Lonchura striata: one gene and its partner. The protein of the gene in region 1 interacts with the protein of each later gene in a pairwise test. Links are inferred from orthologs where the notes say so. Each region holds a gene or a part of one and is shown on either strand. Other genes may lie near its edges.

Region 1 (3,748 bases):
TCTTCAGGAGGGCTTGTCTGAACTTGTTTTGTGAGACACCAACCCTGGGAGACACTGGGATCTGGCAAGGTACACAGACCATTAATCTGCCCAGCAGCAAAACTGAAGGGCTGTGGCAAAGGGCCAGGTTCAGTTTGAAACATGTTTCCAGAGCAGTGAACACCCACCCATGTGCTCTGCTCAGCCTGCAGTGAGTGGCCATGCCCAGAGCCAGCCTGCAAGGTCACATCACAGCTGGACTGTGCCATTTCTTCCCTCCCAAGTGCACATCTCCAAGTGAAAATGCTGTGCATTCCTTGTGCCTGCATTAACATCTCAGCTGGAAATATCAGAAACCCCCCCGGTTTATTCCAACAACTCCCATTACACTGTGAGCCTTGGCTAATCCGAAATCCCAATCCTGAGTTCTAAACTCAGCTTCTGTACTGCCAAAGACTGTGCTAAAAACAATGCTCTTCTTAGGATGTTTTTAGCAAAACGTATCAGTTTTCTTCTTTGAGCTTTACTTGAGGTCCTGTGTTGTGCAGACAATGGGGTGCTCTGCAAACCCCACACTCTTCAAACCCCATGCCCAGCAGGGCACACGGGTAGCTCTTGCTTCCTCACACGCTGCCCAAATCTGTCTTCCCTGCAGGGTGAACAGGGCTGAATGAATGAATTCCTGAATTTCACTGGCAATTTATCAGCTCAATTATGTATTTCTGTTTAGACTCCTGCTTTAAATGAAGGATTAAGGTGCCTCTTTGAGTGTTTCTCAAGACTTATTTTCAAATACTACTCCATTTCCTTAAACACATTGGCATTAAACACATGTATTGCTATAAGAACAGCATTATCTTAAACCCATTCTCTTTATATTTTCTGTACAGTAACAGGATCTTAGTCCTCCCACATTTACTCTTTTAACTGAGTTGTTTCGAGCTGTGATACCTTTCTGAACTATTTCATAATGATTAATAAATTTACTGTTTCCACTCTCCCTTGCACACTGATGGATGCTGATTGTTCCTCACATAGTGCCATGAATAGATGCTTTTTGTAATAAAAATTCAGACTCCAAAAATCTAAATATTAGTTCCAAGAAAAAAATCAATAAGAACATTTCTAATTCAATTCCAAAATTTTAAAGGAAAAAAATACAGATAGAAAAGGAATAATGGTGAGATGAAGAGATGATTGTACATTTTTCAATGAAAAGAGAATTTTATTTAAGCCTCAATTTTAGAAAAAGTTGATTTTCTGAAGGTAGCCATGGTAAGCATTGTAAATAGGTAAGTGGGTGGGGCTGAACTCACTTTGTTTTTCCATTCTTAAATGTCAGAGAAGTAAACTCCAAGTTTCAGAACTATAGCCTGAAGAAAAAACATCATCTGATTCATGCCTTTTGTTTAATTAAAAAAAGAAACCCCAAGCCCAAGCCCCTGCGATGTGCTGCCAGCACTGCTTGTCAGGAATGTCATCATAGCTGGCCTCACCTCTAGGGAGGAGGAATTTTGGAGGGAGGGCTGCAGTGGGGTTTGTCTCCCAACGCCCGATCGTGAGCATATAAAAGAGGCACGAGGGCAGTGAAGGCACAGGCTGTCTTCTCTTGCCGGGCTGCATAACTGACCCTTGCTCCTGCTCTTGCTTCAGCCATGGCCACTTCCTTCATGAGCTCTTCCTCCACCTACGGGGGTGGCTTTGGGGGCGCCGGGGGCAGCAGCTCTCGCCTGTCCTCGGTGCGCGTCGGAGGCACCTGCCGGGCCCCGAGCATCCACGGCGGCTCTGGCGGCCGGGGTGTCTCCATCTCCTCAGCCAGGTACGTCTCCTCTTCAGGAGGAGGCTGCGGCTTTGGCGGGGGCTATGGAGGAGGTTTTGGAGGGGGAGCAGTCTGTGGCTTTGGAGGGGGCTCTGGCTTTGGAGGGGGCTCTGGCTTTGGTGGAGGATTTGACTTCAGTGGTGGCTTTGTTGGTGGCGATGGCCTCCTCTCTGGCAATGAGAAGATAACCATGCAGAACCTGAATGACCGGCTGGCTTCGTACCTGAACAAGGTACGAGCCCTGGAAGAGGCCAATTCAGAGTTAGAAGTGAAAATCCGAGACTGGTACCAGAAACAAGCTCCCACCAGCCCCGCCCGTGACTACAGCAATTACTACAAGATAATTGAAGAGCTCCGAGACAAGGTATGGCATTCATATGTAGAGGAGTTTTAAGAAGGCAAGAGAATTTTGGAACTGCATGTTCCATGTCTTTAAAATAATTACAAAAGAAGTAGTGAATTCCTCATCCCAAATACATCGAGGTCCAGAGCATTCTAGCAGAATGGAGTAGCCTCTTCTCAATTTAAACACAAATATCTTACCCTGACAATGTGATGTTTGTTGAAATTAAAATGATTGCAGTAAAAGTTAGCAAAATGTGTTTAGAATTATCAATATATTTATTCAGAAATCAAATAGTAAAGAATGTGACAGGTAGGCCTCAAAGACTGGAAAAATAATTCACCTGGCTACAGATAAGATCAGGTATAGTACAAACACATTTCCCATTTCCCTGTGGTTCTAATTTGTCTTGCATGGAGTATCACAGCTCTCTGGTTTGCTCATGGAATGTGGATCAGATATTTTACCATTATTCACAGGAATTTTTCTCTCTGTTTCTAATTGCCAGATCCTTGCTGCTACCATTGACAATTCCCGGGTCATTTTGGAGATTGACAATGCCAGGCTGGCTGCTGATGACTTTAGACTGAAGTAAGTTCACCTGAAGCTCATTTGTCTTCACTCTACTTGTCACTCTCTCTAAACAGTTTTTTCTTTAGTAACTTCAATACAAAACATCCTGGCAAGCAGAATCCATTGATGAAGGACCAATTCAGAGTATAAACCTGACAGAACACAGCATTCAGATCACTGAGCTGTTTGCAGGATCAGTTATAGCCTGTGTCTTCATTTTTTTGTGACACTCAAATATTTTTACTAGCCTGAATCACAGGGGAAAGAAGGCAGGAATAGGTGGGATTTTCACTTAGAAGGAACTGAGTGGGAGGAAGAGGTTGCTGTGGGGCTTCAGCATTTCTCTGCTGGAGTCTGAAATTTAGAGTCAGGTGGGGCTTTTGCAGCTCCCAGGCTCAGCAGCACATCAGATGATAAAGGTCCATGTGCAGCTGCCTTCCCGGCAGGAATGCACCTGCAGGTTTCTCTTTTCCCTCCTGTGTCCCCGGCAGCCCTGCCCCACCTGTGCTTTCCTACACAAATCTGGGATGACACTGCAAAACTCCTGTCCTGTGTGACAATGTTTCTATTGATGCTGATAATCAGTATTATGTTCTGCAAGGTGAAATGTCATGTCTCCCTCAAGAACAAAATCATATGGCTTTGTCTGTGCTTCCTTTATGCTGTATCTGGATATTGGAACAGCTTTATTGCTTTTACACTTCTAAATCTGTATCATCTACAGTCCACTGTTGCTCCCATATGTGATCATTTTATAGCTCTGTTGAATACAACCACAGAAACATTCCAGTGCTTGTTTCTTTTTTGAACTGCAGGTATGAGAATGAGCTGTTCCTGCGCCAGAACGTGGAGTCTGACATCAACGGCCTGCGCCGGGTCCTGGACGAGCTGACCCTGTCCAGAACTGACCTGGAGATGCAGATTGAGACACTGAAGGAGGAGCTGGCTTATCTGAAGAAGAACCACGAAGAGGTGAGAGTCCTGGCAGTGCATGGAGATCACTCCCCTTTGGATTTTAGCTCTTGCAAATGAAA
Region 2 (3,748 bases), on another chromosome or scaffold:
TCCTCCACCGAGGCACAAAGGCAATTTTCCATGCCTAGGTTTCTCCTGCTCTATTTTCCAGGGGGTTAATATTCAAGGAAGGAGATAAACTGTTTTAAGCCCCATAGCGCAGCTGAACTTGAATTAAAATTGTGTCAAATTTCTGCAATTGCTTCTGTCTTGCCCCGTGCTACGTGCAAAACATTCTTTTCATCCCTGTCACGCATTCAACAGTGATAGTAACAAAACAACAATGAAAACACACCACTGATAAGCCAGGCTATGAAAGACTCTTGAACACCTAAGTGGAAAGGTCAGCACAAAAACAAACAAAGTACCCCAGAACTACCATTCCCAGAAAAACTCTTGGTCTGTGAGGACAGGGAGCTGCCTTGTCCACCCAAGCCGTGGATCCTTCTTTTAAGGCTTTACGAGCTGTGCCATTGCTGCCAGGAGGAGCCCGGCCGTGCCTCACAAGCACCTGCAGCTCCTGGCAGGAGCCTGGGGCATCCTTAAACTTCTCACCCCTTAACCGCGCCCGCCAAACGCATCTCCTCCCTTAAGGTACTCTCTTGTCACTCTTCCTCCCACTCCGAGTCGTAAGGGAAAAAAACAAACCAAACCAACCAAACAAACACAACTATCCGCACTGGCGGCGGACAGCGCGGGGTCACCGGCGTGGGGAACAGCCGGGCCAGCAGAGAAGGGAGCGGCCTCCCCTTCTCGATGCCCGGGGGACACCGGAGCCCCGCTCTCTCCCCACACTGAGTGCTTGCCCGCCTCCCGGACGGCAGCACAGCCCCGGGGCGCCCCGGCGCCGCTCCAGACGCGGGAGGTGCGCCCGGCGAGGCTGGGGACGTCACGCTACCGGGCACGGGGGCACCCCAGAACCCGGAGCTTCGTGGGCAGCGCTGCCTCGCAGCTGCCCCCGCCTCACCCGCAGGTTGGCCCTCAGCCCGGCGGCCTTGGCGATGCGCTGGAGCTCGGCGTATTTCAGCGCCTCCAGGGGCTGCAGCGAAGCGAGCGCCATGACAGCAGCTCCGACCGACCCGCCTGCCCGCCGCGCGCCAACCGACACCGCTCGCGCCGCCCCCGCCGTTCGAACTGGCCCGCTGCGCCAGCCCATTGGCTGGGCCGCCGAAGGGGCGTGGCCGAAGGGGGCGGAGCGAGGGAGCCGCCAATGGCGGCGCGGCCCGCCGCGCGTGCTTATTTTCAAGCGCGATGAGGCGTTCCCGGCAAAGAAAGTCGCGCGCGGTGCAGCCCGCTGCCCAATAGCCGCGGGCGGCGCGGATTGACGCTCCTTCTGTCCAATGGCAATACAGAGGTGCGCACCACGCTCCAATCACGATGCTTACGATGCTTGGGGGCGGGCCCCGCGCCCGAGCGCTTGGCGGGAGGAGATGGCGGTGCGGCAGCGGCTGCGACAGCTGTTCCAGGACCCGCAGACCGTCGGGGCCATTGTGCTGGAGCGGGCGCCCGCCCTTGCCTCTACCGCCTGCGTCTCGCTGTCGGCGCCCCGGACGCCGCCCCGGCCGCCGCCCCTGTCGCCGTCTTCCGTGCCGCCGGCCGAGGTGCCGGCGTCGCCGCCGCGGCAGCAGGGTCCGCTGCCGGAGGAGTGCGCCGTGTTCCACTGCCGCGGCTGCTGGACAGTGCTGGGAGACTCGCTGCAGCTGTGCGGGCAAGAGCCGCCGGGGCTTAGCGTCCTCATCTGCTTCAGTCAGTGCCTCCTCCGCGCCGGCTGGTGCTGAGGACGCGCCGCTGCCCCGCGCGGACCTCGGGGCGGGCAGCGGGGCTTGGTCCGGGGGCTCTCTGCTGCAGCGCGTCTCTCTTTCTCCTCAGGAGTCACCAATGATGTGACCTGGGAAGAGTCGCTGTTGGTCGGCCTCGAGGGAGCCCTCCTGGGATGGTGCGTAGCTCCCGTAGTTCCGGCAGCGGACCTGCCCGAGTGGCCGCCGCGGTGAATCGTGCGCACGAAGCCGGGAGCTCTCCGGCCTGTGCGCGGGGATGCTCAGGAGTTTGGCAAGTCACTGCCAGTGACTTCTGTGCCTGTTTCACACCTCGGATGGAGATACTTTTTGTAGGGATGTAGTTCTCACTTGAAATCGAGATTTTTGCTGCTATAACCTCTGTAGGTGGAGAGAAACATTCGAGCAATGCAGTAGAATACAGCTTAACTTGTAGGTCCCTTTCTTCTCTTCCCTCAAAGGTCTCTTGCTTAAAGCATCTCTGGGTTTTGTTTGGTTTGGTGGGTTTTTGGTTGCTTTGGTTTGGTTTTGCGGGGAGGGGTGGCTATTGGTTGGTCGGTTTTTCTTAATACTGAAAATAAAAAACTTGTGCTGCCCCATTCAGGAACCTATCTTTTGCAAGGTTTGGTAACTCAGTCTAACGGGAAGAATGTAAAATGTCATCTAGGGGCTTACAGAACCAGTAGCTTGTTTAAATGATTTTTAAAAGCTGTTTTATAAACTGTCAGAACTGGGAACTGCTTCAATATAAGACTTGCTCTTTTTTTGACTTTTTTCCTTGCCCCTCTCTCTGCATGGGGTAATGATATATTTTATTAGAATTTTCAACTGGTGCATCCATTATTTTATTATTTAAATTATGTTTGAGTAGAATATGTAAATCATTCTGTGATAATAAGATGTGCATTTTCTTCCTTAACAGCAACTTCACTTATTTGAGAGATTGCTTCTTTCACAACATGCCCAATTTCTTATGGTCATACTACTTTGTACATATTACTTTTCTGAAGAGGATGCGTTATTATGCCTTGGATTTTTTCCCAATGGAACTGAAGATTTTATGCTCTCTGACAAATATGCAATATCTGTGGTTTCAAAAGCTTCTGTTTAAAAACACTTCCCTTTCTCCTTTTAGTACTTATTATTTATTATTCTGTCGATCTTGTGGCTCGGCTGTGGGCTTCATTCTTTACTCTTCTGGCAGTGACCTGGTGTATCTCCGGGACTTGTTCTGTTTCTTCAAGGACAGCATCATGTGGTGAGTACACTGCATTCCATGGTCAGTGACTTCACAGGTAGTTTCAAGTCACTGTACAACTAGCCTACAGCTAACAAAAGTGGTTTAACTTCTGTCTGAGCACATTGGTGTGGGATATTAATATTCTTGATGACTAAATTGTGTTGATGTGAATCCCTTTGATTTCCTTGCACCTCTTGAGTGTCCTTGTGCAATGCAAGACTTCATACTTCGTTGTGTGCAATGCTGAAATCTCTTCAGTTCCAGATTCATTTAGCTAATGTAAGGTATCAAAGTGATTATTTGATTGGTTGAGAACTTGACTGCAGAAGCTGTAAATTACTGAGAGGATCTTGATTCCAAAGTAAAACCATTGCTGTATTTTGAATATTTTCATAATTATTACTTTTGGCAACAACCTTGTATCTGATTTAAAATAATTTTAAATCATCTGTCTAAATAGTGCAACTACAGGTTTTGTAACTGTGTTTTTTTTCCCTTTCCCGTTTTGTTTTCCAGTTATCTCTTAAAAAATCAAATGATTGTAGAAGCTTCTAAGGTCAATTTTCCAGCTGTGACCTTAAAGGAAAACATGCAGAAAGTAAGATTTCCACAATAATGGAAAATACTTTTAAAATACTGATAATTTTGGACATTAATTCAAAAACATTGATACAAATGTGGGGGTTTTAAGTGCTTAGGACTGAGAAACTGCTGCCTTATATGACAATAACTGACTCAATGCATGAGACATGAACATTTTCTAAGACCCCTAAACTGCATAACA

What was found.
Region 2: the proteins of keratin, type I cytoskeletal 19-like (region 1) and OIP5 interact in binary tests that used the Homo sapiens proteins (3 or more experiments, as listed by UniProt). The two-hybrid records come from large-scale screens. The link is inferred for Lonchura striata from reciprocal best matches to the Homo sapiens genes KRT15 and OIP5.

What each region holds. Positions count from the first base shown.
Region 1 is NC_134627.1:6,767,325-6,771,072, forward strand, and holds the start of keratin, type I cytoskeletal 19-like, read left to right. Parts: upstream 1-1,634; coding exon 1,635-2,162; intron 2,163-2,649; coding exon 2,650-2,732; intron 2,733-3,529; coding exon 3,530-3,686; intron 3,687-3,748.
Region 2 is NC_134608.1:37,494,920-37,498,667, forward strand, and holds the start of OIP5 (protein Mis18-beta), read left to right. Parts: upstream 1-1,346; 5' UTR 1,347-1,379; coding exon 1,380-1,695; intron 1,696-1,818; coding exon 1,819-1,885; intron 1,886-2,859; coding exon 2,860-2,982; intron 2,983-3,480; coding exon 3,481-3,562; intron 3,563-3,748. Other genes in the region: NUSAP1 (nucleolar and spindle-associated protein 1), read right to left, coding at 917-1,009. UniProt on the Homo sapiens protein: Required for recruitment of CENPA to centromeres and normal chromosome segregation during mitosis.